Linked DNA regions of Saccharomyces cerevisiae S288C. The protein of the gene in region 3 purifies or fractionates together with the protein of the main gene of each other region. This does not show direct contact. Each region holds a gene or a part of one and is shown on either strand. Other genes may lie near its edges. The genes, in order: PRP9, CUS1 and LEA1.

Region 1 (3,758 bases), on a different chromosome or scaffold from region 3:
AGAAAAGGTGGATAGATGAAGGAAAACCGGAATATCAATTTCAACCCCCAAAGCTTTCTTACACAAAAAGACTCGTTCTAGGTTCATGTCCAAGACTGGATGTTGAAGGCTTAGGTGATCTTTATAAGAATCTGATGTCCTCTAATTTTGACCTTCAGTTGGCGAAGAAAACAGCCATGAAGGCAGAAAAACTTTACTACAGAACACGCACTTCCGCCTCCCCTGAATCTTTAAAGAGAAGTAAAGAGATCATTTCTTCTGGCTGGGATGCTCAAAATGCATTTTTTGGTAAAAATGAAGAGAAGGAAAAATTGGATTTTTTGGCTAAATTGCAAAACAGAAGAAACAAGGAAACGGTATTTGAGTTCACCAGAAACCCAGACGATGAAATGGCAGTGTTTATGAAAAGGAGAAGAAAGCAATTAGCGCCAATTCAACGAAAGGCGACTGAAAGAAGGGAACTATTAGAAAAGGAAAGAATGGCTGGTCTTTCACATTCTATCGAAGATGAAATTTTGAAAGGTGACGATGGTGAGACAGGTTACACCGTGTCAGAGGATGCCTTAAAAGAATTTGAAGATGCGGACCAATTATTAGAAGCACAGGAAAACGAAAACAAAAAGAAAAAGAAACCGAAGTCTTTTAAGGATCCAACTTTCTTTTTAAGTCACTATGCGCCAGCTGGTGACATACAAGATAAACAATTACAGATAACCAATGGGTTCGCTAATGATGCTGCTCAAGCGGCTTACGATTTAAATAGCGATGATAAAGTGCAAGTTCATAAGCAAACAGCGACCGTAAAATGGGATAAAAAAAGAAAAAAATATGTTAATACTCAAGGTATTGATAACAAGAAATATATTATTGGTGAAAGTGGCCAAAAAATCGCGGCAAGCTTCAGGTCTGGTAGATTTGATGATTGGTCGAAGGCAAGAAATTTGAAACCATTGAAGGTAGGTTCGAGAGAAACAAGCATACCATCTAACTTGCTCGAAGACCCTTCACAAGGTCCTGCTGCAAATGGTAGAACCGTCCGTGGGAAATTCAAGCATAAACAAATGAAAGCGCCTAAAATGCCAGATAAACACAGAGACAATTATTATTCGCAAAAGAAGAAGGTGGAAAAGGCTCTACAAAGTGGAATTTCCGTCAAGGGATATAATAACGCTCCGGGTCTGCGAAGCGAATTGAAGTCCACTGAGCAAATTAGAAAGGACAGGATTATAGCAGAGAAAAAACGTGCGAAGAATGCTCGTCCTTCCAAAAAGCGTAAATTTTAGATAGTTTAAAACCATCTAGATCTACAGATATATAGTTTACATATGTACCATAGCAAGAAAACAAAAATAGATAGCGAGTCCGTTCTTCATAATTCTTTGTAGTTCTTTGTGATTTCAGTATTTTGTCGATGTAAGTCATGTTCAATATTTTTTTTGTAGCGCATTTTATTCTAACTTTCCGATGAGGCAACAAAGAAGTGTTAAGTATCGGCTGACGAAGTGCAATAAAAAGTACTTAGTTATACGGTAGATCAAGAACCTTCGGTGAGCCAAGCGAGGGTGTATACATTCATTTAATTTTGCTTTAATAGGAGTAGGAGGGCATCATCTCAATGAATTTACTTGAAACAAGGAGGTCCTTGTTGGAGGAGATGGAGATTATTGAAAATGCCATAGCAGAAAGAATTCAGCGGAATCCAGAGTTATATTACCACTATATACAAGAATCGAGCAAGGTGTTTCCTGATACTAAACTGCCTAGATCATCGTTGATTGCAGAGAATAAAATATACAAGTTTAAAAAGGTTAAGAGGAAGAGAAAACAGATAATTTTGCAGCAACATGAGATAAATATTTTTCTTCGAGACTACCAAGAGAAACAACAAACTTTTAATAAAATCAATCGTCCAGAAGAGACACAGGAGGATGACAAGGATTTGCCTAATTTCGAAAGAAAACTACAACAGCTAGAGAAGGAACTGAAAAATGAAGATGAGAACTTTGAATTGGATATCAACTCTAAAAAAGACAAATACGCTTTATTCTCATCTTCTTCTGATCCATCGAGGCGCACAAATATATTGTCTGACAGAGCTCGAGACCTAGACTTAAATGAAATATTTACTAGAGATGAGCAATATGGTGAATATATGGAGCTGGAACAATTTCATTCTTTATGGTTGAATGTAATTAAACGGGGCGATTGTTCACTGCTTCAATTTCTCGACATCCTAGAATTATTTTTGGACGACGAGAAATATTTGCTAACCCCACCGATGGATCGCAAGAATGATAGATACATGGCCTTTTTGCTAAAGTTGAGCAAATATGTAGAAACTTTTTTCTTCAAAAGTTATGCTTTGCTTGACGCTGCGGCAGTTGAAAATCTAATCAAATCTGACTTCGAACATTCATACTGTAGGGGATCTCTTCGGTCCGAGGCAAAAGGTATCTATTGCCCTTTTTGTTCGAGGTGGTTCAAGACATCTTCCGTTTTCGAAAGCCATTTAGTAGGGAAAATTCATAAGAAAAATGAATCTAAAAGAAGAAATTTTGTGTACTCTGAATATAAACTGCATCGGTATTTGAAATATTTAAATGATGAATTTTCTCGAACGAGAAGTTTTGTTGAAAGAAAACTGGCATTTACTGCAAATGAAAGAATGGCAGAAATGGATATCTTAACACAGAAGTATGAAGCACCTGCATATGATTCGACGGAAAAAGAGGGGGCCGAACAAGTGGATGGTGAGCAGAGAGATGGTCAACTGCAAGAAGAGCACCTCTCTGGTAAATCGTTTGACATGCCATTGGGTCCGGATGGATTGCCTATGCCATACTGGCTATACAAACTGCATGGGCTTGACAGAGAGTATCGCTGCGAAATTTGTTCGAATAAAGTTTATAATGGGCGACGCACTTTTGAAAGACATTTCAACGAAGAAAGACATATTTATCACTTGCGATGCCTTGGTATCGAACCTTCTTCAGTATTCAAGGGCATAACCAAAATTAAGGAGGCACAAGAGCTCTGGAAAAATATGCAGGGGCAGTCACAGTTGACATCTATTGCAGCAGTTCCCCCAAAGCCTAATCCTTCACAACTAAAAGTTCCTACAGAATTAGAACTAGAAGAAGAAGACGAAGAAGGAAATGTAATGAGTAAGAAGGTCTACGATGAACTTAAGAAGCAAGGTTTGGTGTGAAATCTCTCTGTGATATGTATATTTGTTTGATAGATAGCAGTTGTATGTATTTATACTATTCTTAGTAATGACCTTATTACCCGTCTTGTAGAATTGAAAGGCGAAAAACAATTTGAGGACCCATATAATGGAAGAAAACGGACGTGAAAGTTAAATATACGTACCAGAAGACAAATCACAGTAATAAACTAACAAAACTATATAATAATAATGGACCCACATAATCCAATTGGTATGTTGTTGATATTTTTAGTGTTTGTGGAGGCAATTGAGCTCGGTGCCCCTTTTGGCTTTGCCTCTTTTGCATTTTAGTTCTTTTACCCCTATATTATTAATACTAACCATCTCGATATAGTCCTTGATCAGGGTACTGGTTTCGTCAAAATTGGTCGTGCTGGCGAGAATTTCCCAGATTACACGTTTCCTTCTATTGTTGGTAGACCCATCTTGAGGGCGGAAGAACGTGCCAGCGTTGCTACACCATTAAAGGACATTATGATTGGTGATGAGGCAAGTGAAGTTCGCTCTTATCTGCAAATATCTTATCCTA
Region 2 (3,566 bases), on a different chromosome or scaffold from region 3:
ACTGGGGTTTCACCAGTCATTCTGGCGACAAATTCCTTCGCCATATCACCAAAACCAACCATGAAGACAGTTTGCCAGATACCTAAACCAATTCTTGGGGTGACACCACGGTAAAGACCCTTTAGACCATTTGATTGATAGATGTATTTAAATGTCTTACCAACAGTCAAATTTTTTGGTCTGTTTGGATCTTCCTTCTTAGATTGCATTTCAACTCTAATGACTTCGATTGGTTGATTCCAAGCACTTAAACCACCACCTAAAGCACTGGCACCAATTTTCTCGAACGGATTCAACTTGTCGTCTTTATTGGTTTTCCCGGTGATCTTTCTGATACCATCTTCCACTAGTCTGGACAAACCAAAACGAGAACCCCAGTTGGTCATTTGTCTAATAGCAACAGCATTAACACCCTTATTAATACCTCTAATACCTTCCTTTTTATAAATATTCTTGAACACACTCCAAGAAGATTGTGGGACACCACCTGCGGAGGCAGATTTATGTCTTGTAATTTCCACCGTTTTCATACAGGTACAGAACCCCATGGTTAAGTAGGCTTGAGTGACACCACCCGTGACACCACCTAATATACCTGAGGCAAAGTTGTTCAACCCCAAACTTTTGAAACGATACTCAGCCTCAGCTGACACGAACAGCAACACAGCACCTTTAGTGGAGGCTTCGATCCATGCCCATGGAATCAAACCTTGGTAGTAACCCAAGATACCACCTCTTGACCAGACATGCTTAACAGATTCTAAAAATGTGAAGTTTCTGTTTGCAGCCATTGTGGTCTTAACAACCTCCAAAGGTTGCCCTAATGTAGTCACCTCTGACAAGTTTAAACAGGCACCCAATAGGATATTAGAAAACGAGACTGGCTTTTTTTCTATTACGTTTGCTGCAGCAGTATTAGTGGTAGATGGCATAGCTATAATGACGTCGGGCTTTTCCTAGCTTTATTTGTACAAAAGACTTATATAAAAAGATTGTATCAGCGCTGTTTATATCTCAATGAAAGTAGATATATATACCGTAAGCGAGTTGAAACAATGACTTGAGGTGGGCAGCTTCGGACTTTTTGCAAAATTCAAATCCGAATATCTAGAAGATTGTATTGACAGCGTTTTTTAAATGTCCGTAGATTTCTCGAGATATATAAATGTTACAGAAGGTAAGATCCATGCAAGAGGCTAATGCGTTTTTCTTTTTTTTTTTTAGAGTGCGATATCTTGTCATAAGTTTACACAATGGGACAAAGGAAGCTAAAACATGAGTGCAAAAGAAGGGCCCATGTTTGTCGCCCTATGCATTTAGCCAATCATCTTTTTTTTTTGCGTGATCTTTATCAATCGTGATTCTCTGCCTTCTGAGTGAAAAAAGTCATGATCTTCGCGTTATTGCAGCGGAATTTGCCGACAGGACCTAGGTCTTGAGAAAGAAAAGTGATAGGGTAAGTAATGGAAGAAGAGGGCACAGGTCCAATCACGCAGCTTCATTACAGGGCTATAATTGCAAGAATAATAACTTTCAACCATATAGAAATCCAATACAGTATATTGGTATTGTTTAGAAAGGTATTAAGAAGGCAGTAGCATACAGAGTATATATCTATAGGCAGAGCATCAGATCATAAAGATAGTGGTGAAATGGCTAGAACCAAAAGTAGGAAGCGTTCCGGAAATAACCAAAATAAGAATGCGTCTGTGGTAAATAATAAGGCTGAGATCGCCGCCATGATTGATGCAAGAAGGCTTGAGCAAAAGAAAAAGGGTGGGGTGACTAACAGCAAAGGAAAGACGAATAAGGTAGTGGATGCGAAGTTAGAAAAAGAGTTCAAAGACGTTTTACAACGATTTCAAGTGCAAGAGAATGATACGCCGAAGGAAATCACGAAAGATGAAAAGAACAATCATGTCGTTATTGTTGAGAAAAACCCAGTTATGAACAGAAAGCATACAGCAGAAGATGAATTGGAGGATACACCCTCGGATGGTATTGAGGAGCATCTATCGGCAAGAAAACGTAGGAAGACTGAAAAACCTTCACTTTCGCAGTTAAAAAGCCAGGTACCGTATCCTCAAATTATAGAATGGTACGATTGTGACGCAAGATATCCAGGCTTACTAGCGTCAATTAAGTGCACCAAAAATGTCATTCCTGTTCCAAGCCACTGGCAGTCCAAGAAGGAATATCTATCTGGCCGTTCTCTGTTAGGTAAAAGACCTTTTGAACTTCCTGACATTATCAAGAAGACAAATATAGAACAAATGAGATCGACGCTTCCGCAAAGCGGACTGGATGGTCAAGATGAAAAGTCACTAAAGGAGGCCTCAAGAGCAAGAGTGCAGCCGAAAATGGGCGCCTTGGATTTGGATTACAAGAAGTTACACGATGTGTTTTTCAAGATAGGAGCCAACTGGAAACCTGACCATTTGTTATGCTTCGGTGACGTCTATTATGAAAATAGGAATCTTTTCGAGGAAACGAACTGGAAAAGAATGGTTGATCATAAGAGACCGGGGAGAATTAGCCAAGAGCTTCGTGCCATAATGAATTTACCCGAAGGTCAACTACCACCATGGTGTATGAAGATGAAAGACATTGGATTACCTACGGGATATCCTGATCTGAAAATTGCCGGCTTGAATTGGGATATAACGAATTTAAAAGGCGACGTTTACGGAAAAATAATCCCTAATCACCATTCAAGGTCCAAGAAACAGGGTAGAAACTATTTTGGCGCATTGATCTCATTTGAAACCCCTGAATTTGAAAATTCAAAAGAGGATACACAGGCGAATGCGGAAAATGGGCGCCAAGATGACAAAATCGATGATGAAGTAGAGCATAAGTTAGATCACTTCCAGGAAGACATATCCGAAGTGACAAGCGCAGAAGAAAAACTTGAGAGAAACGAAGAGGAATCGGAGAAGCAACTATATACTGTATTGAAATAACTACTAAATATCGCATAGGTACTTCAGTTTTACAAAATTTTACATGTGGTACTATTTCTCACGTACGAGTTTTTTTCTTTTTTAAATGCGGCCCTAAACCATGCTGAAATTTTTCATGAGCTCATCGCAAAATTTATCTCATTATCAGGTCATATAGTCACTCTCAGGAGAATCCTGCTCGATCAAAGTGAGGCAAGTAAATGCGCATATAGAAGAGAGCAAAACTGTCCTATTTACAAGCTTTTCAAAACAATGGGCTCAAAAGTAGCAGGTAAAAAGAAAACCCAGAATGATAATAAACTAGATAACGAAAATGGTTCACAGCAGCGCGAAAATATCAATACCAAGACGCTTTTGAAAGGCAACCTTAAGATATCAAATTACAAATATCTTGAGGTGATTCAACTAGAACATGCTGTGACAAAATTGGTGGAGTCTTACAATAAAATAATTGAACTTTCACCAAATTTGGTAGCTTACAATGAAGCCGTTAACAATCAAGATAGAGTGCCTGTTCAGATACTTCCTTCTCTATCACGTTATCAATTAAAACTGGCAGCTGAATTAAAAACCTTACATGATCTTAAAAAAGACGCAATTTTG
Region 3 (3,375 bases):
CAGAAGATTAATATTCCGAAGGCACCTGCATTAGGATTATTGTTAGAAGCTCCAGTATTTGAAGGTTATAATAAAAGACTAGAACAGTTTGGTTACAAGGCGATCGATTTTTCCAAATATCAAGACGAAGTGGATAAGTTCAAAATGAAGCATATCTACGATAAGATCTACAAGGAAGAGGTGGACGAAAATGTTTTTAATGCGTTCTTTAGTTATATTGATAGTTTCAACAAGGTTACTGGAGCACAGGGAGAAGAAACTGCCGATAAATCGGGACCTGCTGTGCAAAAGAGTATCTTCGAATTCTTGACAGCTAAGGGTATCCCAGGTCTTACTGATGCGCCCGAGAGCAATAAGAAGATTAAGCAAAGAAAAAGAATGGAAGAGGAGGAAGCTGCTAGTAAAAAGGCTGAAATATCCAGCACCACTCAGAGCAACGAACCTGAAGTACAACCGGAAGCGGCAGCTAATTAGGTTGCCCTTTCCTTCTTTCTTACCAACTTTAATTTCTAAGGCATTGACATTGAAATTGACATTGTCCTCTAATGTTTATAGAGCACCATTATTTGTTTTCGTTTTATATATTATTATATAATGGCACAGAATAATTTATAATTCTTTTTTTTTAAGTCATTGAACAGTCGCACTAACCAAAAGATTAAACACCACCAGAGAGTAGTTTTTCCAGCCTGGCAATCTCTTCTAAAGAAGTAGCTTCTGCTAACTGCTTTTTCAATTCATTTCTTCTCTCTACTGTCATCTTACTCACCACCAAATTCATGATCTCCATCGTTTTATCTCTGGATCCATTATCTCTTATTGCAGTATTTACTGGGCCCAACGTATCGCCGTCCGCCTGCCTTGGAAAGCTCATTGCGCTCTTTCTTTCCTCAGCTGTTACGTTTTGAAAGTCTAAAGTCTCTAAATGCGGTACTAATCGAAGTACATGTTCTCTATAATTGGCTAAATGACATACTTGATTCCCTATTAAAGTTAGATTCTTCAACGTCCTGGGCGCTCTACGCAACCTTTGAAGATCTTCAAACCTTCTTATGCTGTTATTCGATAATGTAAGGTTCTGTACATTCATAGGCAATAGGCGACCGTCTACTTCAACGATATTGTTTCGGCCCAACAGTAATGTATGTATATCGTCTCTTCTTGATAGATCTGGAATCATGATAAGGTCATTGTTTGTCAAATCCAAGATGTGCGTAGGTTTGGTCAAATGCTTTAAGCTGGATGGCATGGATTCTGAATCCGTTTCTAGCTGCAGGTCTCTTAAAATAACACATTTATCCACGTTATACTTGCCATTAAAATGATCAACATAATATTGCGGAGCATCAATAACTATGCTAGGGGTGAACTTCATTATTGCTTATAAAAACTGATATTTTCCAAGTCCTGTAGTTTCACTTCGACCTGTTGAAGGCTTGTTGGATGCAGAGTATGCGATTGGCCTAATATAAGTAAATGTCATCTATGATAAGAAAAAGACTAATAGGGCTTTTTCCTATAATTAACTAGGGTCTGTCGAAAATCAACTTTGAAAACCAGGAACAAAAAAAAGATAGATAAGGTTTATTTCACTCTTTTAGGGCAACATAATTTATGCATATTATAGGAAAAAGGCAATCGTAAGAACCTATTTAGCAGGTGTAACAAAATCAATACTACATATATTTATAGCGGCAACGCATCCATTTACTTGTGGAAGCGCCTAGTTTTCGATCTAACCATGGTTCTCAAGACCAAATCACTCTGAAGCTAAATTATTTAAATCAAACAGCGGAAATGGTATTTACTAAGGAAGAAGTTGATTACTCATTATATCTGGTTACAGATTCTACCATGCTTCCACCGGGAACTACTTTATGTTCTCAGGTTGAAGCTGGGTTGAAAAATGGTGTAACGCTAGTTCAAATCCGTGAAAAGGATATTGAAACAAAAAATTTCGTTGCAGAGGCTTTAGAAGTTCAAAAAATATGTAAGAAGTACAATGTTCCACTTATTATCAATGACCGTATAGACGTCGCTATGGCAATTGACGCCGATGGGGTTCATGTGGGCCAGGACGATATGCCAATCCCAATGGTAAGAAAACTTTTGGGCCCTTCTAAAATTCTTGGATGGAGTGTTGGTAAACCTTCGGAGGTAGAGACATTGGCTAAATGGGGGCCAGATATGGTAGATTATATTGGTGTTGGTACTCTTTTCCCTACATCAACAAAGAAAAATCCTAAGAAATCACCCATGGGTCCTCAAGGCGCCATTGCCATTTTGGATGCTTTGGAGGAATTTAAAGCTACATGGTGTAGAACCGTTGGTATTGGTGGTCTTCATCCTGACAATATTCAACGTGTGCTTTGTCAATGTGTTGCTTCAAATGGAAAGAGATCGTTGGATGGTATCTCTCTAGTCAGCGATATTATGGCCGCTCCAGATGCATGTGCAGCAACCAAGAGGTTGAGAGGCTTGTTAGATGCTACCAGATACCAATTTGTTGAGTGCGAGTTAAATAATACATTTCCGACCACAACTTCAATTCAAAACGTTATATCTCAAGTATCAAACAATCGTCCATTAGTGCAACATATCACCAATAAGGTTCATCAAAATTTTGGTGCCAATGTCACTCTAGCTTTAGGCTCATCTCCTATCATGTCTGAAATTGAAAGTGAAGTATCTGAACTAGCAAGAATCCCAAATGCTTCTTTACTGTTAAATACCGGATCAGTGGCACCTATTGAAATGCTAAAAGCCGCAATTAATGCTTATAATGAAGTAAATAGACCCATCACCTTTGACCCGGTCGGGTACAGCGCCACTGAAACAAGGCTCTGTCTAAACAACACTTTGCTCACTTACGGCCAATTTGCTTGTATAAAGGGCAATTGCAGTGAAATACTGTCTCTAGCCAAGTTAAATAACCATAAAATGAAGGGCGTCGACTCTAGCAGCGGCAAAACGAACATCGACACACTTGTGCGCGCTACACAAATTGTGGCATTCCAATACAGGACTGTTGCTGTTTGCACGGGTGAGTTTGATTGCGTTGCTGATGGTACTTTTGGAGGCGAATACAAACTTTCATCAGGAACAGAAGGAATAACCGCTGAAGATCTTCCATGTGTAATAATTGAAGATGGCCCAATTCCTATCATGGGTGACATCACTGCAAGTGGATGTTCACTTGGTTCTACAATTGCTTCCTTTATCGGTGGGTTAGATTCCACTGGAAAACTGTTTGATGCTGTGGTTGGTGCTGTCCTATTATACAAATCAGCTGGTAAGTTGGCTTCCACCCGTTGTCAAGGAAGTGGTTCATTCCATGTCGAATTGATTGACGCATTATATCAATTATTCCATGAA

What was found.
Region 1: the proteins of LEA1 (region 3) and PRP9 purify together in Saccharomyces cerevisiae (affinity purification with mass spectrometry; 6 studies listed by BioGRID, with this or other methods). This does not show direct contact.
Region 2: the proteins of LEA1 (region 3) and CUS1 purify together in Saccharomyces cerevisiae (affinity purification with mass spectrometry; 7 studies listed by BioGRID, with this or other methods). This does not show direct contact.

The regions. Positions count from the first base shown.
Region 1 is NC_001136.10:395,922-399,679, forward strand, and holds PRP9 (SF3a splicing factor complex subunit PRP9), read left to right. Parts: upstream 1-1,615; coding exon 1,616-3,208; downstream 3,209-3,758. Other genes in the region: ATP-dependent RNA helicase DBP10, read left to right, coding at 1-1,283; ARP2 (actin-related protein 2), read left to right, coding at 3,419-3,440, 3,564-3,758. UniProt on the Saccharomyces cerevisiae protein: mRNA splicing factors, PRP9, PRP11, and PRP21, are necessary for binding of the U2 snRNP to the pre-mRNA in an early step of spliceosome assembly.
Region 2 is NC_001145.3:749,327-752,892, reverse strand, and holds CUS1 (U2 snRNP complex subunit CUS1), read left to right. Parts: upstream 1-1,652; coding exon 1,653-2,963; downstream 2,964-3,566. Other genes in the region: YHM2 (Yhm2p), read right to left, coding at 1-932; RNT1 (ribonuclease III), read left to right, coding at 3,216-3,566. UniProt on the Saccharomyces cerevisiae protein: Essential splicing protein required for U2 snRNP binding to pre-mRNA during spliceosome assembly.
Region 3 is NC_001148.4:148,614-151,988, reverse strand, and holds LEA1 (U2 snRNP complex subunit LEA1), read right to left. Parts: upstream 1,376-3,375; coding exon 659-1,375; downstream 1-658. Other genes in the region: pseudouridine synthase PUS1, read left to right, coding at 1-474; THI6 (bifunctional hydroxyethylthiazole kinase/thiamine-phosphate diphosphorylase), read left to right, coding at 1,798-3,375. UniProt on the Saccharomyces cerevisiae protein: Involved in pre-mRNA splicing. Associates to U2 snRNA in a MSL1 dependent manner and is required for normal accumulation of U2 snRNA. Required for the spliceosome assembly and the efficient addition of U2 snRNP onto the pre-mRNA.